2 linked regions of the Sus scrofa genome follow. The protein of the gene in region 2 purifies or fractionates together with the protein of the main gene of each other region. This does not show direct contact. Links are inferred from orthologs where the notes say so. Each region holds a gene or a part of one and is shown on either strand. Other genes may lie near its edges.

Region 1 (4,211 bases), on a different chromosome or scaffold from region 2:
TCCTCATAGATGCTAGTCAAATTAAAAAAAAAAAGACTGTTAGGATTAAATGTGGAAAATATACACATATGATTCTTAGATATCACCTGAGCCACAACAGGTTCCCTCATAACAATCTTATGAGGTAAGCACTATACCCTGTTTTAGAATACTAAAGCACAGAGCCCAAAGTCACAAAACAGTAACTTGCTAGCAAGTGGCAAAACCAGGATTCAAATCCAGGTAGTCTGGTGCTCAAGTCTACGATCTTAAACACTACACTATAATGCAGGCATACCTGAGAGAGATATTTTGGGTTTAGTTCCAGACCATCTCAATTAAATGAAGATCTCAATAAAGCGAGTCACAAGAACTTTTTGGTTTCCCAGTGCACACAAAAGTTGTTTACACTATACTATAGTCTATTAAGAGTGCAATAGTATTGTTTAAAAAACCAATGTACATACCTTAATTTAAAAATACTTTAGGAGTTCCCATTGTGGCTTGGCGGTAATTAACCTGACTAGTATCCATAAGGATGTGGGTTTGATCCCTGGCCGCGCTCAGTGAGTTAAGGATCCAGAGTTGCCGTGAGCTCTGGTGTAGGTCAAAGACAAGGCTTGGATCTCGAATTGTTGTGGCTGTGGTGTAGACCGGCAGCTGCAGCTCTGAATCGACCCCTAGCCTGGGAACCTCAATGTGCTACAGGTGCAGCCCTAAAAAAGAGCAAAGAAATAAAAATAAAAACATTTTATTACTAGAAAAAGTTGAACCATCACCTCAGCCTTCAATGAGTTATAACAGTAACATTAAAGATCACTTATCATAGATCACTATAACAAACATAACAATGAAAAAGTTTGCAATGTGAGAATTACCAAAATGTGACAGAAACTCAAAGTGAGCAGATGCTGTTGGAAAAATGTCGCCAACAGACTTGCTCAATGCAGGCTTGCTACAAACCCTTACTTACTTTGTAGAAAACACAGTATTTGGGACGTGCAATAGAATGAAGTATATCAACATGCTACAGATGAGGAAAAATGTCTGTCCTGGTAGAGAGTCTTTAAACCAGCCTCAAACAGGCAGCAGTCAGCCACCCAGTGGTTTAGACACAGACAGGTTACCACTTGAGGCTTTTTAATCAACCCTAGATCCTTCCAGCACCAACCTGAGCCTACCCTTCCTGTCTCCCACCTGTGAGCTCCTGGGGGTCAAGGGCAAGGACTCCTCTTCCCCTAATCCCACCTCCACACAGCAGGCCGAGCAGAGGCTTATCAAATGGGCAGAACTTTTATTTCCTAACCCACTCCTCAGACCTCTGTCAGAAGGTAGATCAGAGTCACTGTAGGTGGAAGGCAGAATAAGCTCCTCTTAAGCAATCCAGAACTCAGCAGAGACCCCACACCTGTCACTCTTCATCACAGTCCCTTTCCACCAGCCAGAGGGAAGTTGAAGTAGGACAGGGAGGTCCACTTCTGTAACCTCAAGTCTAGATGGGGATGTTGAGCAGTTACAGGGCTTCTCAAAGAAGGCACAGCCATCCTAGACATTCAGGCCTGGAGAACAGCTTGCTTGGCAGGTCCTCAGAACCGGGTGTCTCGTGCCCTTCTTCGGGGTCGGGGGCCACAGCTGGAGCTGGGCATGGGGCCCAGGCCAGGGGGTGCCCCTGGGGGCTGATAGCCACACTCATTGGGGTCCAAGGGGTCCCGGCTGAGCAGTACCCACACCGCAGGCACATGACGGCGGACTGTGAGGGGATCTAGGCCAGTGTCAGGTGAGGTTGGCACCCAGCTGTCCTCTGTTTGCAGGAAGCGCAGCTTGGTGAGCTGGTGCAGGCCTGGTACCCGCCGTTTGACGATCTCGGCACAGCTGACAGCCTTGCCGGCAGCCCGGCCAGAACCTGAGAAGACCACATGCCGGGCGCTGCCACCCTCCAACCGCCCCAGCGCCAGTCCCAGCAGGTTGCGGATCTTGCTGCCATCTCGGACTCGCATCTCCAGGGTATCAGGAGGCAGCTGGGGCATTGGGGAAGGTGCTGGTAGTTCCACAGAGCCAGCTTTCCGGTAGTGCTCCATCTCGCTTGCTGCTGGGTCTCAATCTTGCTGCCCGCTGCAGGGAGGTGTCAGAGGAATGCTAGGCAAGGTGCCCCAGGCCATCCCCCACCCCACCCCCCATCCCTGGCTCCCTAGGACATGGCTGTGCTCCTCAACCCAGACTTCCCAGGAACAGGACCACATCCCCTCACCCCCAGAGCAGGGATGCCTGCCTCCCCCTGACAGGGGGCTGTATCCCCTTCCTCCGGACAGAGCCATAACCCTCCCCCGACCCCCGCAGTCCCAGAGACAGGACCAGATTCCCCACTGGCCGAGCCCCCTCATCCCAAGCTGCCCAGCACTGGTAACGAACTTCCTTCATCTGGGGCGCCTTGGGACAGGGCTGGGGCCCTCGGCCCAGGCTGCTTGAGAACAAGACTTTGTGCTCCTCTCCCTGGACTCTCCAAGGAGGGACGAGGACAAGGTTCCCTCACTTCGTGCTCCCGGAGGGCAGGGCCAAGCCTCTACACCCCAAGCTCCCCAAGGCAGACCCCTCTTCCAAAAGCTCCTCAAAGGCAGAAGTGACCCCCTCCCCAACTCCAGGACCTCCAGGACAGGGCCGAGCATCCCTCGCCCAAAGATCCCCTGGGTCGATTCCCCTAACCCAGGTCACTCAGTAAGTCGGGGATAGCGTGGAGGGCTGCTCGGGCTACTCCTGGCGGCCGGTCCGCGGCCGCCACCGCCCCGGGCTGCTCCCAGTGTCCAGGCGGGCGCAGCGGCCCAGCAGCCGGCCTCCCCTCTCCTGCCCCCGACTCCGGGCGCCCTCACCCCGCTGGGTTCTAGCTCTCACCACAGCAGCCACGCACTCTACCACTTCGCTCCTAGTCCAAAATGGCGCGGGACGGGGGCGCGCCGAGGCCGCGGGGCCGCGCACGCCGGACGGGGCGGGGCCTCAGGAGACAGGACCAGAGGCGACTCTGCCCACAAACTGAGAGCGGCCGCGACGGCAGCTTGTGGGTATGAGCCCAGCCGCGACGCGAGGGCCGGTGGCATGAGGGTATTAGGAGTCGTCTCCCGTCGGAAGGAAGTGAAGGATTTGACCTCTGTTGAACACAGTGCAGTAACAAAGGCAGAGCAGCGGGTTTCACTTCGGACGGGAGCAAGAGGGGGGCTGCTGCTGCGGGGACAAGAACTTTGGTCACAGAGTTCTGAGTCTAGACCTCATCTTGTGGACACTGGCGTATCACGGGGAGGTTTCATCAGGCGCAGGTCAAACCAGATCTTTTTGGCACAGCTCACTCTGGCCGCAGCGCAGAAGGGAGCGGGGACCGGCCGCATCCGCTGGTGACTCCCGGGGGCGTGTCCACATGGACCAGCGTATGATAGGGCTCAAATATTTGTTAAATTATTTGTTGAAAGAATGAACTAGAGAAATGGCAGAGTAATGGGGAGAAGTAGATTCATTTGGAAGATAACAGGAAGTAGGTTTGGCGACTGTTCCGACGGAGAAAGAGGGAAGAGTCTAGGATGACTCCCAGTATCAGACGAGCTCAATTCGAAATGCCAACGAGACCGCGCGGGTGGGGTGGAAGGCCGGCGGCGGATGAAAGGGGCCTGGAGGCACAGCAGTCCCTGAGACCACAAGGGGGCAGCAAACACTTGGTGGAGTGAAGTGCCACTGTTTCTCGGCTCCAACCTGCCCCTTCTCCTTTCCAACCACCCCCGCACCCAACTAAAATCCCCGTCTCCAAACCTCTTTTAGGCTCCCCTTCTCGGTATAGCACCAAGTAGGCTCCCCAGAAAAAAACTTAAAAGCTCCCCTCTGCCTTTGCACATGCTGCAACCTCGGCTCTCAAAGACCCTGTGTATCACCCTCCAGGGATGTCCCCCACTTTCCTTTTTCTTCTGTGCCACAAAGAACCCTGGTGCCACCTGGTCCCCTTCCCTTTTCCTTGACTGTCTCCCTAGCTAGGCTGTAAAGGGTAGGGATCAGGTGGACCCTATCTGTGTCCTTCCCACCTGGTTGGCATCTGACCTTTTTAATTTTTTTTTTTTTTTTTTTTTTTTTTCTTTTTAGGGCTACGCGTGGCATATGGAGATTCCCAGGCTAGGGGTCCAATCCAAGCTACAGCTTCTGGTCCACAGCCACAGCAACGCAAGATCTGAACCACATCTTCGACCTACACCACAGCTCTT
Region 2 (3,811 bases):
GCCAGCACCATGCTTGAACAAGTAAGAAAACCTGCTGCACAGACGTGTGCTGAGACAGGGCCCCAGCTCCAGGCTCCAGAACATGTCAGGATCCGGGACTCCTTGCTCTCTGTCTGCCCACTCCCACTTGGGACAGGGACAAAAAGGGGCCACCAGAAGGTTCATGATAACTCTTGTGAAAAGTCTTCATGACCATAAAAAGAATCAGAATGCTGCCTGCAGTTGCATAAAATCTCCCAATTTGGCTTTCCACAATTTCCTCAGCCATGCTAACTGTTAGAAAGGAGGCCAGCCCCCCTCCTTGATGACTCCTGTTCTGTGAGAGACAGGCCTTTCCAGCTAAAGATGAAACAGCTCGCCTCCTCAGAGACCTCGTTTCCTCCATCCCTCACTGGGTCCTCTCCAAGCACCAAGCATTCTCAAGTCTGCCATCGAACAAAAAGCTAGACAGACAGCAGATTCTCACTGACCAGCCTCTCTATGCCTTCTGTTCCCCAGAGTCAAGTTTCTCAAGCAAAGTCAGCAGCACACACAGTCTGCACTTTCTCATGGCCCTATCATTTCCGTGGAAATGGTGTGTGCTAAGGCAACCAATGACCTCCCTGTCAACGGGGGACTTGCCTTCCAAGACACGTTTTAGCCCTTTTCCTGCTTGACACTCAGGCACACTGATGCTGCTGACCCTTCTCACTTTCCTCCTTGTCCTCCTACTTTTGATCAGGGAGTCTCATCCACTCTCATGACTTCAATTACTCTGTACAGGGCAGCCACTTCCACATCAGTATCTTCAACTGGGGTTCCTCTTCTGAGGGCCACACCTTTTTTTTTCCCCCAACCTCCCACTCAACAAGCTCCACTGGAACTCTCACAATAACCTATCATGTCCAAAACCTGATGCCTTCAAACTTCTCTTTGTATGTCCCGTCTCAGGAAATGGTACCATCTTCTCACGTGGCTGCTCAGGCCAAGGCAAGGAGTCATCACCTTCTATCTAATCAACATCAAATCCTGTGAGTCTCCTGTCCCAATGTCTCTCAAGTCCCCTCCTTTATCTCCTCATAAGTGTCCTCTCTTGAGGGCTTCTAACTGCTTACCCAGACCCACCTCCCTCACCTCATCCCAGGTTAGCCAGATCATCAGGCTCAACTCAACTGGTGTTTCATTTTCCGGAACGCAGCGGTGTTTCGTTTTGCTTTTCCCCCTGGATTCAGGACCTTACATAATCCATCCTGTCTGTGGGAATATTCTCTCCCCTACTTGGCCATCTCTAACACTTATTGCTTCTTCTGGTCCCAGTGTGAACATCAACTTCCTCAGGTTGGCCCCTGTTACACATTCCAAGGACATTTTTGCTTACTATCTCCCACTTTTTAAAATATTCCTTCCATTTTTAAGAGGACTGTGTCTGTACTATGCATAAGCACTATGCCCAGCACTCACTTATGGCTGGTTCATATAAGCTCAATGAATACCAGCTGCTGAAAGAGTCTTTAATTGTGGTATCTTTATTGTATGTGCCATGAGCAGATGAGATTTTGTTACACCGTGTGAATTCTGAGCTAAGTGGAGCAGTCAAGTATCGTGCACTGGGGATGCGGGGAGATCTAAGAATGGAGTGAGTTGAAAAAGAACCCTGTTTGACATTAATCAATACAACTTACAAGGCCAAAAAGAAGAAAAATAAATAACTTACCAAAACATTGCAGTGAGATGGATCGGAAACAATAATTGTCAGTCTAGTCAAAATTTTAATTGGTTTTGATTTTCCCTGTTATCAAAAGAGCACAAAATACAAATGACTGATTTTCTTCCTTACCAATGGGAAGTACACATTAAAAGGTACTAACAATAAGAGATAGTGAAGATCAATAAAACCTAGTCCTCGTGCTCAAGAATTTATGGTGCAGGCACACCTCATTTTACTCTGTTTCACTCTGTTGCACTTCACTGATAGTGTATTTTTTTACACACTGAAGGCTGGTGGCAACTCTGCATTAAGCAAGTCTACTGGTGCCATTTTTCCAAGAGCATTTGCTCACTTAGTGTCTCTGTGTCATGTTTTGGTAATTCTTCAGTATTTTGCATTTTATTATTATTATTATATCTTTTACGGTGATCTCTGATGACTGATATTTGACATTACTGTTGAAAACTGTTTTGGGACCCCACAAACCATGCCCACTTAAGACGCCAAATGTAATTGTTGAAATGACAAGGAGGATTTAGAATAAACCACACAAATGTGGCTAATAAAGCAGTTACAGGTATGAGAAGACCCCAATTTTGAAAGAAGATCTACTGTGGGTAAAATGCTATTAAACAGCACTGCAAGCTACAGAGAAATTTTTAGTGCAAGTAAGACAATTCATGCAGCAAACTGGAGTTGGAGTTCCTGCCGTGGCTCAGCAGGTTAAGAATGGACTAGTTATCCATGAGGATGCGGGTTCCATCCCTGGCCTTGCTCAGTGGATTAAGGATCCTGTGTTGCTATGAGCTGTGGTATAGGTGACAGATGTGGCTCACATCCAGGATTGCTGTAGCTGTGATGCAGGCCAGCAGCTGCAGCTCCGATTCAACCCCTAGCCTGGGAACTTCCCTATTCCACATGTGCAACCCTAAAAAGAATAAAAAAAGAAAAAAGAAAAAACAAAGTGCCATAGCCACCCCAATCTTCAGCATCTGCCACCTTGATCCATCAGCAGCCTTTAGCATCAAGGCAAGAGCTTCCACCAGCAAGAAGATTATAACTTGCTGAATATACAGATGAGGGTGAGCATTTTTAAGCAATACGGTATTTTTAAATTAGGCATATATATATATAGTTTTAAGACATAATGCTAACCTCACACTTACTGAAGTACAGTACACTGTAAGCATAGCTTTAATATGCACCAGGAAACTAAAACATTCGTGTGACTCACTTTATGCAGTGGTCTGAAATCAGACCTGTAATATCTCTGAGATATATCTGCACAGTTAGAGAAAAAAACATGCATATTAAACTACACGATGAGATATTTTAAAGGTTGCAGGACTTCAGAAAGATGATCAGAGTACTGAATTGACAGTAAGAGAATGCTTTCTGGAAGAGCTGAGTCTTTATGGAAAGTAAGACCGGTAGACAGAGGAAGGGAACCACACATATGACTGCATGTCTGAACCAAATGAACAGGTGTTATGCTTCTTACACCATGCACTTACCTGTACAACTGGCAAAGTTGTAAAAAGCTCCGAAACAGCTACTGGTTTTTCAATTTCCTATAACAAACAACAAACAGTCACCCTAGATGGTACATGTTAATGTGATGAAACATAACAGAACACTTACAACAGGTTTTCAGTAAGATAATTAAAAAAATAAAACGAAACAAATTTCTGTTACTCAGAAACACCAAGTTGTGCATGTCATTTTTAACGTAGAAAGCTGAAGAGCAGAGCAGCAGCTGAGAATATCAATGGATAGGAGGGATGAACAATAGTTCGGAGACTGAAACAATCTGTAAGGAATGGCTGTTGGCCTGAAGGGAGATATACATATTTGCTAGCATGTTGGAGAGGGAAATCATGAGTCACTGACAGAAATATAAAAAGAACTAAATATTGTGATTACAGTTTAGTCAATAACAATGCACTTTAAGTTACTGAAAGTTAATTAACATCAAATCAACTATAAGAATCCTTATACCATGCCCTAGCACTTCACTAAAAACCTTATCATTTGCACAAATATTCATCAGCTCAACTGTTAACATATAAGACAGTGCAGAAGTTCCTGTTGTGGCACAGTGAGTTAAGATTCTGACTGCAGCAG

What was found.
Region 1: the proteins of RPP30 (region 2) and RPP25L purify together in Homo sapiens (co-immunoprecipitation; 3 studies listed by BioGRID and IntAct, counting the BioPlex papers as one, with this or other methods). This does not show direct contact. The link is inferred for Sus scrofa from reciprocal best matches to the Homo sapiens genes RPP30 and RPP25L.

What each region holds. Positions count from the first base shown.
Region 1 is NC_010452.4:32,187,933-32,192,143, reverse strand, and holds RPP25L (ribonuclease P protein subunit p25-like protein), read right to left. Parts: upstream 2,963-4,211; 5' UTR 2,866-2,962; exon of another isoform or gene 2,844-2,865; intron 2,092-2,843; 5' UTR 2,058-2,091; coding exon 1,566-2,057; 3' UTR 715-1,565; downstream 1-714. UniProt on the Homo sapiens protein: May be a component of ribonuclease P or MRP.
Region 2 is NC_010456.5:102,568,788-102,572,598, reverse strand, and holds part of RPP30 (ribonuclease P protein subunit p30), read right to left. Parts: intron 3,259-3,811; coding exon 3,202-3,258; intron 1,769-3,201; coding exon 1,694-1,768; intron 1-1,693. UniProt on the Homo sapiens protein: Component of ribonuclease P, a ribonucleoprotein complex that generates mature tRNA molecules by cleaving their 5'-ends. Also a component of the MRP ribonuclease complex, which cleaves pre-rRNA sequences.